Sus scrofa: one gene and its partner. The protein of the gene in region 2 interacts with the protein of the main gene of each other region in a pairwise test. Links are inferred from orthologs where the notes say so. Each region holds a gene or a part of one and is shown on either strand. Other genes may lie near its edges.

Evidence for each region.
Region 1: the proteins of MORF4 family-associated protein 1 (region 2) and BRK1 interact in binary tests that used the Homo sapiens proteins (3 or more experiments, as listed by UniProt). The link is inferred for Sus scrofa from reciprocal best matches to the Homo sapiens genes MRFAP1 and BRK1.

Annotation. Positions count from the first base shown.
Region 1 is NC_010455.5:66,312,545-66,319,930, forward strand, and holds the start of BRK1 (protein BRICK1), read left to right. Parts: upstream 1-2,893; 5' UTR 2,894-2,969; coding exon 2,970-3,171; intron 3,172-7,386. Other genes in the region: FANCD2OS (FANCD2 opposite strand protein), read right to left, coding at 49-106. UniProt on the Homo sapiens protein: Involved in regulation of actin and microtubule organization. Part of a WAVE complex that activates the Arp2/3 complex. As component of the WAVE1 complex, required for BDNF-NTRK2 endocytic trafficking and signaling from early endosomes.
Region 2 is NC_010450.4:4,119,203-4,126,753, forward strand, and holds MORF4 family-associated protein 1, read right to left. Parts: upstream 3,878-7,551; 5' UTR 3,656-3,877; exon of another isoform or gene 3,538-3,655; 5' UTR 3,500-3,537; coding exon 3,116-3,499; 3' UTR 3,103-3,115; intron 2,594-3,102; 3' UTR 1,582-2,593; downstream 1-1,581.

The DNA.
Region 1 (7,386 bases), on a different chromosome or scaffold from region 2:
TGGTGGTGAGAGCCCAGGCCGGTCCCACCATCCGGGCCAGGGGCTCACCTGCTGAACTCCGAGGGCCACACGCTCCAGAGTGGCGGCCGCTGTTTCCAGGCCGCATCTTTTCTCCACCGGGCGCCTGGCAACCGCCTTTGTGACCCGGAAAGCACGCGGTGGGTGGGGGTGGGGTGGGGGACTCGAGGAGCCCCGCTGGGAGCCCCCACCTCCCTGGAACACTTGGCCCGGGCCTTAGCCTTCAGCAGTGCCAGTTGGACCCCCACCCCCTCTCTTCCCCTTTGGCAGTTGATCTGTGCCTTTGATTTGGCAGAAGAGGGCCTACTCCAAAGACTGGCCTGGAATCTACATGTGTTCCTGGAGCTATAGTTAGTGTCAAAAAGTAAGCTCCAGGAGTTCCCCTGGCGGCCTAGCAGTTAAGGATTTGGTGGTGTCACTGCTAGGGTGCAGGTTCTTATCCCTGGCTCAGGAACTTCCGCATGCCCTGAGCACCACCAAAAAAAAAAAAAAGAGGGGGAGTAAGTTCTAGTCTTTAAACCCTGCTCTGGGGGTTCAGGCTGACTTGCGCAGAGTTCCAAAGTCTTTTGCTGCTGCACTGGAAAGATCCAGGCACTAGGAGACAGTTTATAAATGCTAACCTGTCAAGAGCAAGAAGAAAGATTCATGTCTCTCCCTGACTTCCTGGCCAAAAACTTTGCTCTGCTTCCTGTTAAATCTCAAAAAGAACAAATTAACTAATGGCCCACCTGCCCTTAGCTTACAAACCCAGAAATTGCCCTGGTGCTTTATGAGCAGTCACCTTTTTGTCTGGCTCTTTGGATGAAGCCAAGGGGAGGAGACTGGGAGCCTGGGGATGTGGTGTCAGGATAAGATTCTAGTTTGGAAGATCTGATAGTCTGGAGGGACTTGTCAAGAATTGTCAGGTGTCCACTGTGTGCATGTGCCTGTGGAAGGAGAGATCAGTGGAGAGAGTGGGAGGCTGAGGCAGAAAAATGGAGAGGGGCAGAGACTGATGAGTCTTGGAAAAGACTAAAATGATTTTGAACTACTGGTTTTTTCCCTAGTAAGTTTATTTAATTAATTTATTTATTTACTTATTTAGTCTTTTTAGCACAGCATATGGAAGTTCCCAGGCTAGGGGTCGATTCAGAGCTGCAGCTGCCGGCCTACACCACATCCACAGCAATGCAGGATCCAAGCTGTGTCTGAGACCTACACCACAGCTCATGGCAATGCTGGATATTTCACCCACTGAGCGAGGACAGGAATCAAACCTGTATCCTTATGGATACTAGTCGGGTTTGTTACTGCTGAGCCACAATGGGAACTCCTTTATTTTCTCTTGAATCAGAGACAAAAGTTTTTATTGTGCAGTTGAGTTTTTTTTAATGAAAGTCTGCAAAGCAAAATTATATGATTAAAAATTGTTAGACAATGGTTCATCATGCTGTACAGTAGAAAAAATGACAGAACTCTGTAAACCAGCTATAATGGAAAAAATATCATTATATAAAATAAAGACAGTTCCCATCGTGGCGCAGTGGTTAACGAATCCGACTAGGAACCATGAGGTTGCGGCTTCGGTTCTTGGCCTCGCTCAGTGGGTTAACAATCCGGTGTTGCTGTGAGCTGTGGTGTAGGTTGCAGACGCCGCTCGGATCCCATGTTGCTGTGGCACTGGCGTAGGCTGGCAGCTACAGCTCGGATTCGACCGCTAGCCTCGTGAACCTCCATATGCCGTGGGAGCGACCCAAGAAATGGCAGAAAGACTAAATAAATAAAGACAAAATATTTTTTAAAATTGTTAAAAAAGAAAAAGAAAAAGGAATTCCCATCGTGGCACATTAGAAACGAATCCGACTAGGAACCATGAAGTTTCGGGTTAGATCCCTGGCCTTGCTCACCGGGTCAAGGATCCATTGTTGCCGTGAGCTGTGGTGTAGGTTTGCAGACGCTGCTTTGATCTGGCATTGCTGTGGCATAGGCTGGCAGCTACAGCTCTGATTAGACCCCCTAGTCTGGAAACCTCCATATGCCAGGGGTGCGGGCTCCCCCACCAAAAAAAAAGAAAAGAAAAAATTTTGTATTTTGTTTTCTTCTTCACTTTAGCATGTGTGTTCTGTTGCCATAATTGACATTTAAATGACCTCATAATATTGCTCTAAGTGACTATACTGATATTTAGCCATTCCCCAACAGTTGAGATTTGTTTTTTTAAATGAATGATGCCTTTAAGAACATTGTGCTCAAAGTGTTTTCTCTTTTCCAATGAGCTCTTCTTTTTTGTCTTTTTTGGGCCGCATCCCAAGGCATGTGGACTTCCCAGGCTAGGGGTCGAATCAAAGCTGTAAGCTGCCAGCCTGGACCACAGCCATCAGATCAAAGACTCTGCAGCTCTATCTAACCCACTGAGCTAGTGCCAGGGATGGAATCCACGTCATGGATACTAGTCATGTTCCTTACGGCTGAGCCACAACGGGAACTCCACCAATGACTTTATTAAATTTCCTTCTGAATAGATCTTGCCAGCTTACAGTATGACCAGCTATTTACTAATTTTCCCATTTCCCTTCAGCCAGCCTCTTCATCTCTAAGTATTATAGTTTAAAAAAATAACCTTTTGTTCATTTGATAAATGCAAGGTGGGCATCATGTGTTGTTAAAAGGCATTTTTGAAATGACTTGTGTTTTCTGTGGTTTAATTGGCATTGCCCAGCTTATTGTGGTCAGAGATCTCAGTTTGGAGCGCCTGAAGTTAGGGTTGATGCGGGCTCACGCGCCCCCTAACGACCAAAACTGCCAGTGACTGAGGGGGGACGGGGGGGGCTCTGAGTGCGTGCGCACTCCATTCTCCAAGCCGGTTTTGCGGCCACCGTTTTCCGGGGTGTGGGAGAAGAGCGAAGACGCTGGCGGGGACTTGACAATGCGCAGGCGCATCACGAAGCCTGTGGATTTGTGGCCAACCGAGCATGGGCGTGGGCTGGCTGCGTCGGCGCACTGGAGGCCTGGAGGGTCGAGGCGCGTGCGCAGTCGCGCTTCCTTCAGCTGCAGCCATGGCAGGCCAAGAGGATCCCGTGCAGCGGGAGATTCACCAGGATTGGGCGAACCGGGAGTACATTGAAGTCATCACCAGCAGCATCAAGAAAATCGCAGACTTTCTCAACTCGTTTGGTCAGCGGGCGAGCAGGGGGAGGCAGGGAGGAGGGGGGCCCGCCTAGGGAGGGCGCTGAGAAGCTTTGACGCGGGTTCTGGGAGCCGTGGGCTCCTGCTGGTGTTTGCTTCCGCCTTCAGGCCGCACTTTTCCCCTCTCGCTCTGACCCCCGGCCTCCACTGATCATTCCCTGTGGGGTTATCCTGCCCCACGCTGAGCTCATCGGCTTCATTGCCTTCCCCCCGCATCCAGTAACAAGTCCGTTCCTTTCCCGGACGTGTCAGACAGCCCCATCCATCGCCTGAATCTTTCCTTCTCTTCAGGCGTCTCCCTTCTTTTGTGCTTCGTTTCAGTCGTCACTTGGTGCTCAGAGAGCGCTGTCCAGAAGCCCTTTAGCGTCGAGCCTGTTAGTCGCCCCTCCTGTCGGTCCTTTCCTGTCTCGGCGTGTGCTGTGCAGAGTGGTAGATGAGAGCGGAGGAGGGCCCACATCGCGTCCGGCCAGGGACATCTCTGCATCGCTAGTATCTAGACCACAGTGGGTGTTGTCTGCTTCTAGCAAAATCTTTCCTTGGCATGACCTGTCCGTGACAGTCTTAAAGTTCCTTCCGCGTTGTTTCCTATCCTTGTGCTACACCCTGCAGCAGAGACTCCTGACTCTTGTTCTCCGAGTGTTACTTTGAAAGAACCGGGCACTGGGTAAACTTTTTATGTCATCACAAGGTGTGGGGATGACATCTAGTGATCTTTTTCCAGTTGTGCTTCTGGCCCACTAATTCAGCAACATTAAGCGATTAAGTAGGGGAAACTGATAAATTTAAAAAGACTTAAAAAGGAATTATTTTCTTGCTAAGAGAAGTCCAAAGGAGTGTATAAAGGTGACAGCAAGAGATTTGTCCAAAAGCATCAGCAAGACAAACTAGATCTGAGTACAAGGCTCTTTCTCAGTCTCTGTGGGGAAGACAGAATAAGAACCATTTCCTACAATTAAGTGATTTCTATTTTGAAGATGAAATAATGACATCAGAGCAAAGCAGAACATTGTTTCTGATTTAATATATTTACATATAGGAATTCCCCTTGTTGCTCGGCAGTAACAAACCTGACTAGTATCCATGAGGACCTGTGTTTGATTCTTGGCCACACTCAGTAATTTAAAGATCTGTGTTGCAGGAGCTGTAGTGTAGGGTGCAGAGGTGGCTGGGATTCTGCATTCCTCTGGCTGTGGTGTAGGCCAGCAGCTACAGCTCCGATTCAACCCCTAGCCTTGGAACTTCCATATGCCTTGGGTTTGGCCCTGAAAAGACAAATATATACATGGTCTTTTACATTTGTATGTAAATACACATTATTTATTTATAATAAGCTTATAAAATATATAAATATATATACTTGCATACAAATGTGTAGGACTATAACCTTTTTAAAAAATGTTTAAAATTCTTATAGCCATACCCATGGCATATGGAAATTTCTGGGCCAGGGATTGAATTCAAGCCACAGCTGCAGCAACAACAGATCTTTTAACCCAGTGCCCTGGGCTGGAGATTGAACCCACACCTCTGCAGTGACCAGAGCCACTACAGTCGGATTCTTAACCCACTGCACCACTGCAGGACCTCTAGAACTATAATCTTGATATGTTTTGGGATGGTGGAGTCCTCATTCAGGGACTGGGGGAAAGGTTGTATTAGTGAGCAGTAAGAATAGTATAAATTATATGCCAGTGATACATATTCATACATATTACTTGCTATAGAAGTTGTGATAGGAATGGTAGTTAAGAAATTATAGATCTCTGGGAGTTCCCATCATGGCTCAGTGGTAATGAACCTGACTAGTATCCATGAGGACTCTCACTGATTCCTGGCCTTGCTCAGTGGTTTAAGGATCTGGCGTTGCAATGAGCTGTGATGTAGGTCTTAGATGCAGCTCGGGTCCCTTGTTGCTGTGGTATAGGCCGGCAGCTGAAGCTCTGATTCAGCCCTTAGCCTTCCATATGCCATGGGAGCAGCCTTAAAAATACAAAAAAAAAAAAAGAAAGAAAGGAAATTATAGATCCCTGGAAGTTCCTGTGTGGTGCAGCAGGTTAAAGAGGCACAAGCCACAACTGTGACACAGGCTGCAACTGTGGCACAGTTCAGTCCTTGGTCTGGGAACTTCCACATGCCGAGGGTGTAGCAAAAAAAAAAGCAGCAGCAGAAAAAGAAGAAATAGAAATTAGTATCCATGAGGATTCAGGTTCGCCCTTGCTGTGGGCTGTGGTGTAAGTCACAGACTCGGCTCTGATCCCAAGTTGCTGTGGCTGTGGTGTAGGCTGGCAGTTACAGGTCCATTTTGACCTGGAACTTCCATATGCCATGAGTACAGCCCTAAAAAGCAAAATAAATAAATAAGTTCCTGGGCCAGGGATTAAACCTCAACAGTGACAACCTTTACCTGTTGAGCCATGGACCTCCCTCAAGTTTTTTCTGTCTTTTTTTTTCTTTTTTTTTTTTTAGCGCTGCCATATGGAAGTTCCTAGGGGTCGAATTGGAGCTGCATCCACCAGCCTGTGCCACAGCCACAGCAACACGGGATTCGAGCTGTGTCTGCAACCTACACCACAGCTCATGGCAACGCTAGATCCTTAACCCACTGAGCCAGGGCTCAAACCTGTGTTCTCATGGATGCTAGTTGGGTTCGTTAACCACTGAGCCGTGATAGAACTTCCCCTGAAGTTATTTTTTAAAGTTCATTGTAAACTCTTTCAATGTTCTGATAATTGTCCCTCCTACTTTCTTAGAGAGCTAAACTATTATTGAGGATTCTTTACTCATAACATTCTGTCAGAGAAAAGGCCACATAGGAGCAAGCAAAATATTCCATGCTCAGGGAAGGATGGAGTGCTGACAGGATCACAGTTTTGAGACTTTGTCCTTTTCTGTAGAGGCATGGAAAGCAGTTGGACAAATAACTGACATGGAGAGTTTTTTCTTTTAAAAGCAGAATTAAAAGACTTCATTTATCTGGTAGGAGTTAATATTGGATATGTAGAAAGAATATCCAAGCAAAGTATTAAGAATGTCAGTTCAGTAAATAAAGAACCTAAAAAAAACCCAGTTAAACTGGGACTGTTTTTCAAAATTTAAGTCATCTAGCATCCCAGTCCCCCTAGTTTGCATGCAGATAATGTAATAACTTCATTTTTGAGCACTGAATCATGTTAATAAGCATATAATAAACATATGTTTATCTCTGGCACAAAACTTCTTGACGTATCACTAAATTTATAGTGAGTCTTGGAACTAACTGAAAATTTTGAGTTTGAGCTTAGGCTTTGTGGAGGAGAAATGTGTCTTTTCCTGCTTTATAAGTAAGGAAATAGCTGCTGTGAGATTTTGTATCTGTGTGTCACATTTTATTATTAGATAGAGAATGCTTTTCTTTTTTTGAAATTTCCAACAAGTTCTAGACCAACAAGCCTGGAAATAAACACACAGGAGTCCAATCTTCAGGAGCTGGAAGGAATGGTTTCCCTCAGTTTAGGCCAGTTTAGTGGCCTATCCTTTAAAGTGAGGATAATGGCCTAGCATTTGGAGTAATTAGTAGGTAGTTTGTGAAGATCTTAGGAAGTAAATTTAATCCTTTTAACGAAAAAAACATTAATTACAAGTAAGAACAATTAGCAAAATTTAAAGTTAAAGCAATTTGACTTAGCAGTTCAGTATACCTGAGGCAAGTTCCTGAAGATTGACAGTATAACGAAACAAAGACCACCAGGCTGAGAAACTGGATAAATCATAAGGACAGACTTGAGTCTGTCGTCTTGGACTTGGATGACTCAGGATGAGTGAGTGGGATTTATTTTCCCATTCTAAGCCCTGAGTATGACTCAGTTCTGCTGTGTACCTGGGAGGCTTGTGTTGTGTTTATCATGTGATTTGGTGGTACAAAGAGTTTGTTGGCGTTTATTTTGAGGGGGCATCTGTAGCACTTTAAACATACAATTCTCACCCTAACCACAGTCTTCGTAGGCCTTGTGCTCTGGAGAGGGAACTCTTTTTCCAGGTTATCGAAAGACTTTCTGAACAGCTTTTACTCTGTGATTCCAACTGGTGAGAATGGAGTTTTGATCTTTTTTTTGGTCATTTTTGCCTTTTCTAGGGCCACTCCCGTGGCATATGGAGGTTCCCAGGCTAGGGGTCAGATCAGAGCTGTAGCCGCCAGCCTACGCCAGAGCCATAGCAACACGGGAT
Region 2 (7,551 bases):
GCTGTGGTGCCGGCCAGCAGCTATGTAGCTCCTGTTCGACCCCTAGTCTGGGAAGCTCCTTATGCCGCTGTTGCGGCCCTAAAAAGCTAAAAAAAAAAAAAAAAAAAAAAAATTCTGGCAACTCTGGCCAGACTCAGTATTGTACAGCCCTTTAAGACGGCCTCTCCAAATGGCTCCTTACCACATTCTTAGAAAATGCAAGATTCAATTGCTTCTCCAACCTAGCAGTCGCAAGCCGGAACAGTCACCTACCTCTACTTATAGTACAATGAATAATATGCAGCCATTAAAAAAAAAAAAAAAAAAAACCAAACAGCAGATCTAGCTATTTAGATGGGGTGAACTTTCTTTTTTTTTTCTTTTAAGGGCCGCACGTGAGGCATATGGAAGCTCCCAGGCCAGGGGTTGAAAGAGCTGCAGGTGCGGGCCTAAGTGACAGCCACAGCAATCTGGGGTCCGAGCTGTGTCTGGGACCTACACCACATCTCACGGCAACACAGGATCCCCAACCCACTGAGCGAGACCAGGGATCGAACCTGCATCCTCATGGATCCTACTCAGGGTCATTAACCTCTCAGCCACGAAAGCACCTCCCTAGGGTTAACTTTCAAACTATAGTTTTAGGTAGAAAAACTATCCCAGAACATTCACAGATTAGTATTTCTATGTTTTTTTAAAAAAAAGAGGTTGGAGAAAGTCTTGTGTATGTTCTAAAACACATGGTGTTTGTAATGATATTTAAGATACTGGTGAATGGTTGTCTTCCTAGAGGGGAACTGGGAAGCTGAGAAAAGGAACAGACCAATTCTTACTCATTGTATTACCTCTTTTAAAGATAAATTACCAACTGCGAGGTGATATCCTGAAACTGAAAAAAGGCCTTGGTGTCAAACTCGTGAGATACTGACTGTTGTACCAGCGTTACTGTACTAGTTGGGGCAAACTACCAAATGTGGCTTTGTTGTTTGTTTTTTCCTGATGCTGCTCATCATACTCGCCCTCACCACCCCCAACACCAGAACTCCGGCACCTTCTGTTCCCTGTGCCTGGGTGTCCCTCACTCTCTCCTTGTCCTCGGAATCTGTGTCCATCCCTCAAGGCCAGGTTCACCTTACTTGCTCTGAAATGCTTTCTTTCTCCTCCTCAGTCCTCTAAGATACGGTATCTAGCTTGTGACACATGGTTTTCCAGTTTCACGCTTGCTATCAGCTGGATGCCCCAGGAAGCAGATCCTGAGATGAAAATCAGAGTGCAGGCAGGCTCTGTAGGATGCAAAATCTATGGCCATGGAGAGCCGACTGTACGACAATTTTTCCTAAGGAATGTGAGCATCCCTGGATCTTGGTTATCTGTGGGGAGGGGGTGAAGGGTTTTGGAACCAACCCCCTCAATACCAAGGGCCAACCCCATGCTTTTTCCTCCGCCAGTCTCCATAGCAGCACGCAGAGATATGATTACCTCCTCCGTAATTTGGGGCTTAAAAACCCCAATAAATCCACCCCCCATTTGGCAAAGATGACCGCTACGAAGGAAATTTTTCTTAAAGAAACGAAATTTCTTAACTCAATGATTTCTCAGGTCTTTTGTCTTTTCAAGCAAATGAATACTTTTATTAACATGGTAAATTTCTTTTTAAACACATGGTAGGGTTTTGACCTCAAATACTTGTCAGGTCTGCTGCTGAAATGAACTTATAGCTAGACAACTTATGGATGTTGAAAGTACTTAGTCCCTATCCAGTTTAGGGTCCAAAACAGACAGCCCTTGCTTTTCTTCCCCAGACCTTCAAGGGCTTTTGCAAATATCGCTTTTATTTTATGCCCAGAATGCCTTAAAATGCATCAGGGTATTCTATCAATTATACAGAACACCAAGACCTATCTCATGTTCTATTCTCAGTTCCACGTCGAGTAAAGCTGAGTAAGGTTGTCCAAACAAACTGACCAGACAGGTTACATCACACAGTGTGCCGCATAAAACTTACATTTTGAACAAAATACATCTCTCCTCCTTTGGTCTCACACAGAAATTAAAGTCCCCAAACAATACCATCCTCCACCCCTTCTGATTCATCAGTCCTAGCCAGATCAGCCCCATTCACATTCCCAGTAGAAGTCTGGTCCCCTCTTCAGCTTCTTTAAAACTGCTGCATGGAGTCGTCTTCCAGATATCATGCAGTTCCTTCAGCACCTTCAGAGCTGGAGAACTCCAGCTCTGAGTCTCATCCGTCACACACAGACCCAAAGTTCCAGGAAGCTATCAGGTCACACAAGAAAGAGCAAAGCACCTCAAAAATTTAGAAACAACAAAAGCCCAGGAACAAACGTGACTGCTGCAAGAGCTTACAATCTAGGCCCTAATTCTTGCTCGTGAGAACGTTTTCCAAATAAAAGTTACCTCCCCAAACAAAAACACTTAACAATCAAAAACTCATATTGAGGTCATTAACCACAGACCATAGCAGAAACGTAGTGTAAGCGAGGACAAGAGTGTAGACAGAGAAAAAAAGAGAAAACAAAAGGCTCTCTGGTTTCAGCTTCTCCAGGGTGTCAGCCAATCTCCATCAGTGGACCAGAATCCATTGGCTGTAAACCTGAAGTGCAATCGGGAGAAACTCAGCATTAACAGGTTAATCCTTCAAGAAAACCCAACCCAACGCCCTCACACCTGCAGCCCCGCAGGGCACCACCTCTCCGGGATGCCATCTGACTCTTTTCAGGCTTCCAGCGAATTCTGGAACCGTCCAGAAACAGCCTTCCCTCCAGCAATCGTACATTTATTTCTCTCCACCCCAGCTCAATGGGCCCTACCACGATCTCGTTCTCTGGGACTTTTGCTTATGCCCCTCGAGTTGATCCTACTGACCGTGACCTTACGTTGCGAACACACACAGACGAAACCGAATCAACCCACCCGCCCACTTTTTCCCTCTAGCTTCCTGAGACTGAAAAAGCACACAAACGGTCTGTCCTAAGACCTCCTAAGGTAAACACGCAGCATGTTTCACTCTCTCCTCCCAACTCCCACCCCGAGGGGCTCGCTGTTCCATCCACGGCCCCGAGGCCGAGCCAAGAGGGGGGCAGCCCCGGGCCCCCGCCTTACCGCCGACCCGGCTTCAGGACGACTCGCTCTTCTCTATCCGCCGGACCAGCTCCACCAGCATCTCTGCCATCTTCGCGATCTCCTTGGCCTTCTCCTCGGCCTTCTCGCACCTCTTGGTCCCCCTGCCCTCGACCGCGTCGTCCGCGCTCTGAAGATGGTTGAGCGCGCTCTCCTCCGAGGCCTCCACCTGCGTCTTGATCTGGATGAGCATATTGTCCATCTCCCACAGCTTGCTCCGGTTGCGCAGGTACGCCCGCCCGTGCTCGCGGGTCAGCGCCGCGATGTCCTCCCGCATCTCGTTGATGACCGGGAGCAGGAACTGCTCGAAATCCTCCTCGGGCTCCAGCACCTCCACCTCCTCCGGCTCCGCCAGCTCGACGATGTCCAGGGGCCGCATCTCCTCCCGCTGTTCCGGAACCGCAGGAGCCGAGTCGGCTGCAGAAAGAAAATGGAGACTCGCTATGCTTACCGACACACTTCCAGAATATTCTCTCAAACTTTTACCCCGTTTAAACTTTTCGCCTCAGAGCAGCCACGGAATCAAGCGACTTACGAGCTGAGAAGCGGAGGACAAAATGGAGTCCTAGCCGTCAACCAGCGCCCTGCGTGTTGCGGCCCCTTTCACGACACGGCCGCCCCTCTTTACGGTCAGGCCGCGGGTAGAACTAGGTGCGGGGGCGCGCACGTCAGTGGTGGGCGACGCGATCCGCGCTACGCGGCCGCGCGCGCACGCACGCTCTTCCTGATACATCCTCTCCCCTTGAGGCCCGCGCTCCGCCCCTCTGCTGCCCCACGCACGCGCACGCACGCCCTCCCTTCTCCCTCCGGGCCCGTCGTCTCCGTCTCGCGCCCGTCTGCTCCCACCCGCCCCCGCGCGCACGCGCGCGCGCGCACACACGCTCTCTCCTCTCTCCCCTCCCCCTTCAGTCTGGCGCTGCTCCCAGCGGCCCCTGGCTTGGGAGTTGGGGCGCTGCGGTGCTCGCTCTTTTAAAGTTTTTCTCCAGCGTGGAGTTTACAGCTTTCAGAGATCTGAGAGCCATCTTCCCGCGCTGAACGAGAAGGTCCTGCGTAATGATGGGAGTCGCGGTCTCACGCAGAGGGCCCCACCCCGTTTAGTACCGCAGCCGGACCCTCCCCGACATCTCAGAGGCTGCTCTTCGTTATTGCAGTCAGAAGTGTCGGGGTGTCTTTCTCGAAACCGAGACCCCCGGGTGGGAAAGGCCGGGTCTGAATTATTCTGCGTTCCCACTGGACTCGTCTTCACGACTTTTACCGGACTGAAGGCTCCTTGAGGGTCTTACTCTGTCTCAGAGGTTTAGAGCAGAACTTGGCACAGGGTAGTATATTGCTTTAACATTCATTGCACAGACAATTTTAAGGAAACGTATGATGATTTCTTGGCCTGTTGACCTAGTCACAAAATAGCAAAAAAAAAAAATCAGGAATCCAGCTTGCACAAGTGATACGGCTTCTGTTTTCCAGTCAGGTGGGGGACACACCTCCCAGTTCTGAATATAATCGAGTGAAGAATGAAGAGAAACAACCATCAGATGCAGCTAGAGATTCTCATGCTAAGTGAAGTAAGTCTGAAAGAGGAAGATAAATATCGTGTAACTTATATGTGGAATCCAAAATATGGCACAAATGAGCCTATCTTCAGAACAGAAACAGGGAAGTTCCTGTTGTGGCCCAGCGGTAATGAGCCCAGCTAGCATCCTGGCCTTGCTTAGTGGTTTGAGGATTGGCGTTGCCCTGGGCTGTGGAGTAGGTTCCAGGTGCAGCTTGGATCTGGCGTTGTGGCTATGGTGTAGGACAGGCAGTTGCAGCTCTGATTAGACCCCTAGCCTGGGAACTTCCGTATGCCGCAGGTGCGGCCCTAAAAAGACAAAAAATTTTAAAAAAAGAAACAGACTCACTGACATGGAAAACAGACTTGTGGTTGCGGTGGGGGGGGGTGGAGTGGGATGGACGGGGATTTGGGGTTAGATGCAAATGATTACATTTAAAATGGATAAGCAATGAGATCCTATCGTATAGCACAGGGAACTATATCCAATTACTGTTTTTTTGGTTGTTTTTTGCTTTTTTGGGCCAAACCCAAGGCATATGGAAGTTCTCAGGCTAGGGGTCCAATCCGAGCTATAGCTGCCGGCCTACACCACAGCCACAGCAAGGCAGGGTCTGAGCCGTGTCTGTGACCTATACCGCAGCTCACGGCAATGCTAGATCCTTAACCCACTGAGCGAGGGCAGAGTTTGAACCCGAAACCTCATGGTTCCTAATTGGAATTTGTTTCCGCTCTGCTACTGCGGGAACTCCTGTGTCCAATCACTTGTGATAGAACATAATAGAAGATCATGTGAGAAAAAGAATGTATGTGTGTAGGACTGAGTCACTTTGCTGTGCAGCAGAACTGGTAGAACATTGTGAATCAACTATAACTTAAAAAGAGAAACAGTAATCATGAAAATGCTCTGTGAATTCCAAGCATAGAGGTATGTAAAGTGCTTAACTTTTTGTTTGGACTTTTCTCAGTTCTTTATATTTGGTTGCTCCTGTAAAAATCCAGCTTTGGGGAGTTCCCTTCTTGGCTCAGCAGTCACAAACCTGATTAGGATCCATGAGGATGCGGGTTCGATCCTTGGCCTCGCTCAGTGCATTAAGGATCCGGCGTTGCCGTGAGCTGCGGTGTAGGTCACAGGTGTGGCTTGGGATTTGATGTGGCTGTGGTGTAGGCCGGTGGCTACAGCTCCAATTCGACCCCTAGCCTGGGAGCCTCCATATGCTGCAGGTGCGGCCCTAAAAAGACAACAACAACAAAAAAAAATTCCAACCACATCGGGACTGTTATGCTCTTCTTTGTTTTGTCTTTTTAGGGCTGCACCCTTGGCATATGGAGGTTCCCAGGCCAGGGGTCTAATCAGAGCTGCAGCCGCCTGCCTACACCACAGCCACAGCAACACGGGATCTGAACCACGTCTCACAGCAATGCCGGCTCCTTAACCCACCGAGCAAAGCCAGGGATCAAACCCGTAACCTCATGTTTCCTGGTCAGATTCGTTTCCGACGCGCCACGACAGGAACTCCATGTTATGCTCTTCTTTTACTGACTTTTAACTTAACTGCCTTCTGCTTAGAAATATAGTTCTGGGAGTTCCGGCTGTGGTGCAGTGGGTTAAGACTCTAATTGCAGCAGCTCGAGTTGCTGCTGCAGTGGAAGCGCTGGTTCTCTCCCGGCTTGGCACAGTTCCCAGGGTTGGAAGGCCATGGATGCAGGGCGTCAGGAGCAGACAGGTACCCTCCCTTTATTATCGGTCCCGGGCTGGCCCGCAGGAGCCCAAGCTGCTATGCTTCCTTTCCTTTCTCTTTTGCTGCTGCTCAGAGACCTGAATGGCTCAACCAAGCCAAAGCCCGAGGTTATCAGAAGTGGATGGGGACACTGGGGGTGTTAACAAGGCCACTCTGTTTTAATTTGCTGGTGGAAGAAGGAGGAAGGCGAGCAGGTGACAAGGCCATCCAGGTGGTGGCCAAGAGTAAGGATTACTTTGCTTTGACCTCTCAGTGAAGAAATACAGGCTGATTCACAATCACTAGGGCAAAACGCCCAGGAGAGAGGTACTAACAAAACCGAAAAGACAAACAGAACTTCCAGAGTAATGAGGTGAAAAGAGAGAATAAAATAGAAATCTGACCAGCGGAAAAGGAAACGTGAGAAAGAAAAACATCAAGTAAAATATATCATAAATAGAAGAGAGAAGAAATAAAGTCCAATCAGCGAGCATGACGACTTTTCTTAAAAGATAGAAACTGGCATTTGGAGTCAAAAACTAAAATCCAGGCATTTTCCTGTGGCACAGTGGGTTAAGGATCCAGCAACGTGATGTCACTGCAGGGGCTTGGGTCGCTTCTGTGGCCGCGCATTTGATCTCTGGCCCGGGAACTTCCACATACTGTGGCATGCCCAAAAAATTGGAAAAAAAAAAAAATCCCAAAACTAAGACCCAAGTGTTATCTATAAGAAACACACCAATGAGTAAATGACAACAAATCTATAAAAAGAAAGTCAAATTTAAAGTCAAAAGCTTGAAACAGAAAAAAAGAGGGACACTGTCCACTGGTAAAAGATATGGTTTACAAAGAAGTTACATGTTTCAGCTGTCTATTTCTGTGTTGAAAACACCCCAAAGCATAGTAGATTTGAACCCTAACAATCACTTGCCACATTTCTGGGGTTCAGGAATGAGCAGGGCTCCCTGGTTGTGAAACTACCCTCCTTCTCAGATGGGACTGGAACCCATGATCCCTGACTTAGGAGGGGACTCAGACCCACTCTCTTTTATTTGTTTGTTTGTTTATTTTTGGCCATGTCCACGGCATGCAGAAAGTCCTGGGCCAGGGATCAAACCCATGCCGCAGCAATAACAATGCCAGATCCTTAACTCACTGCGC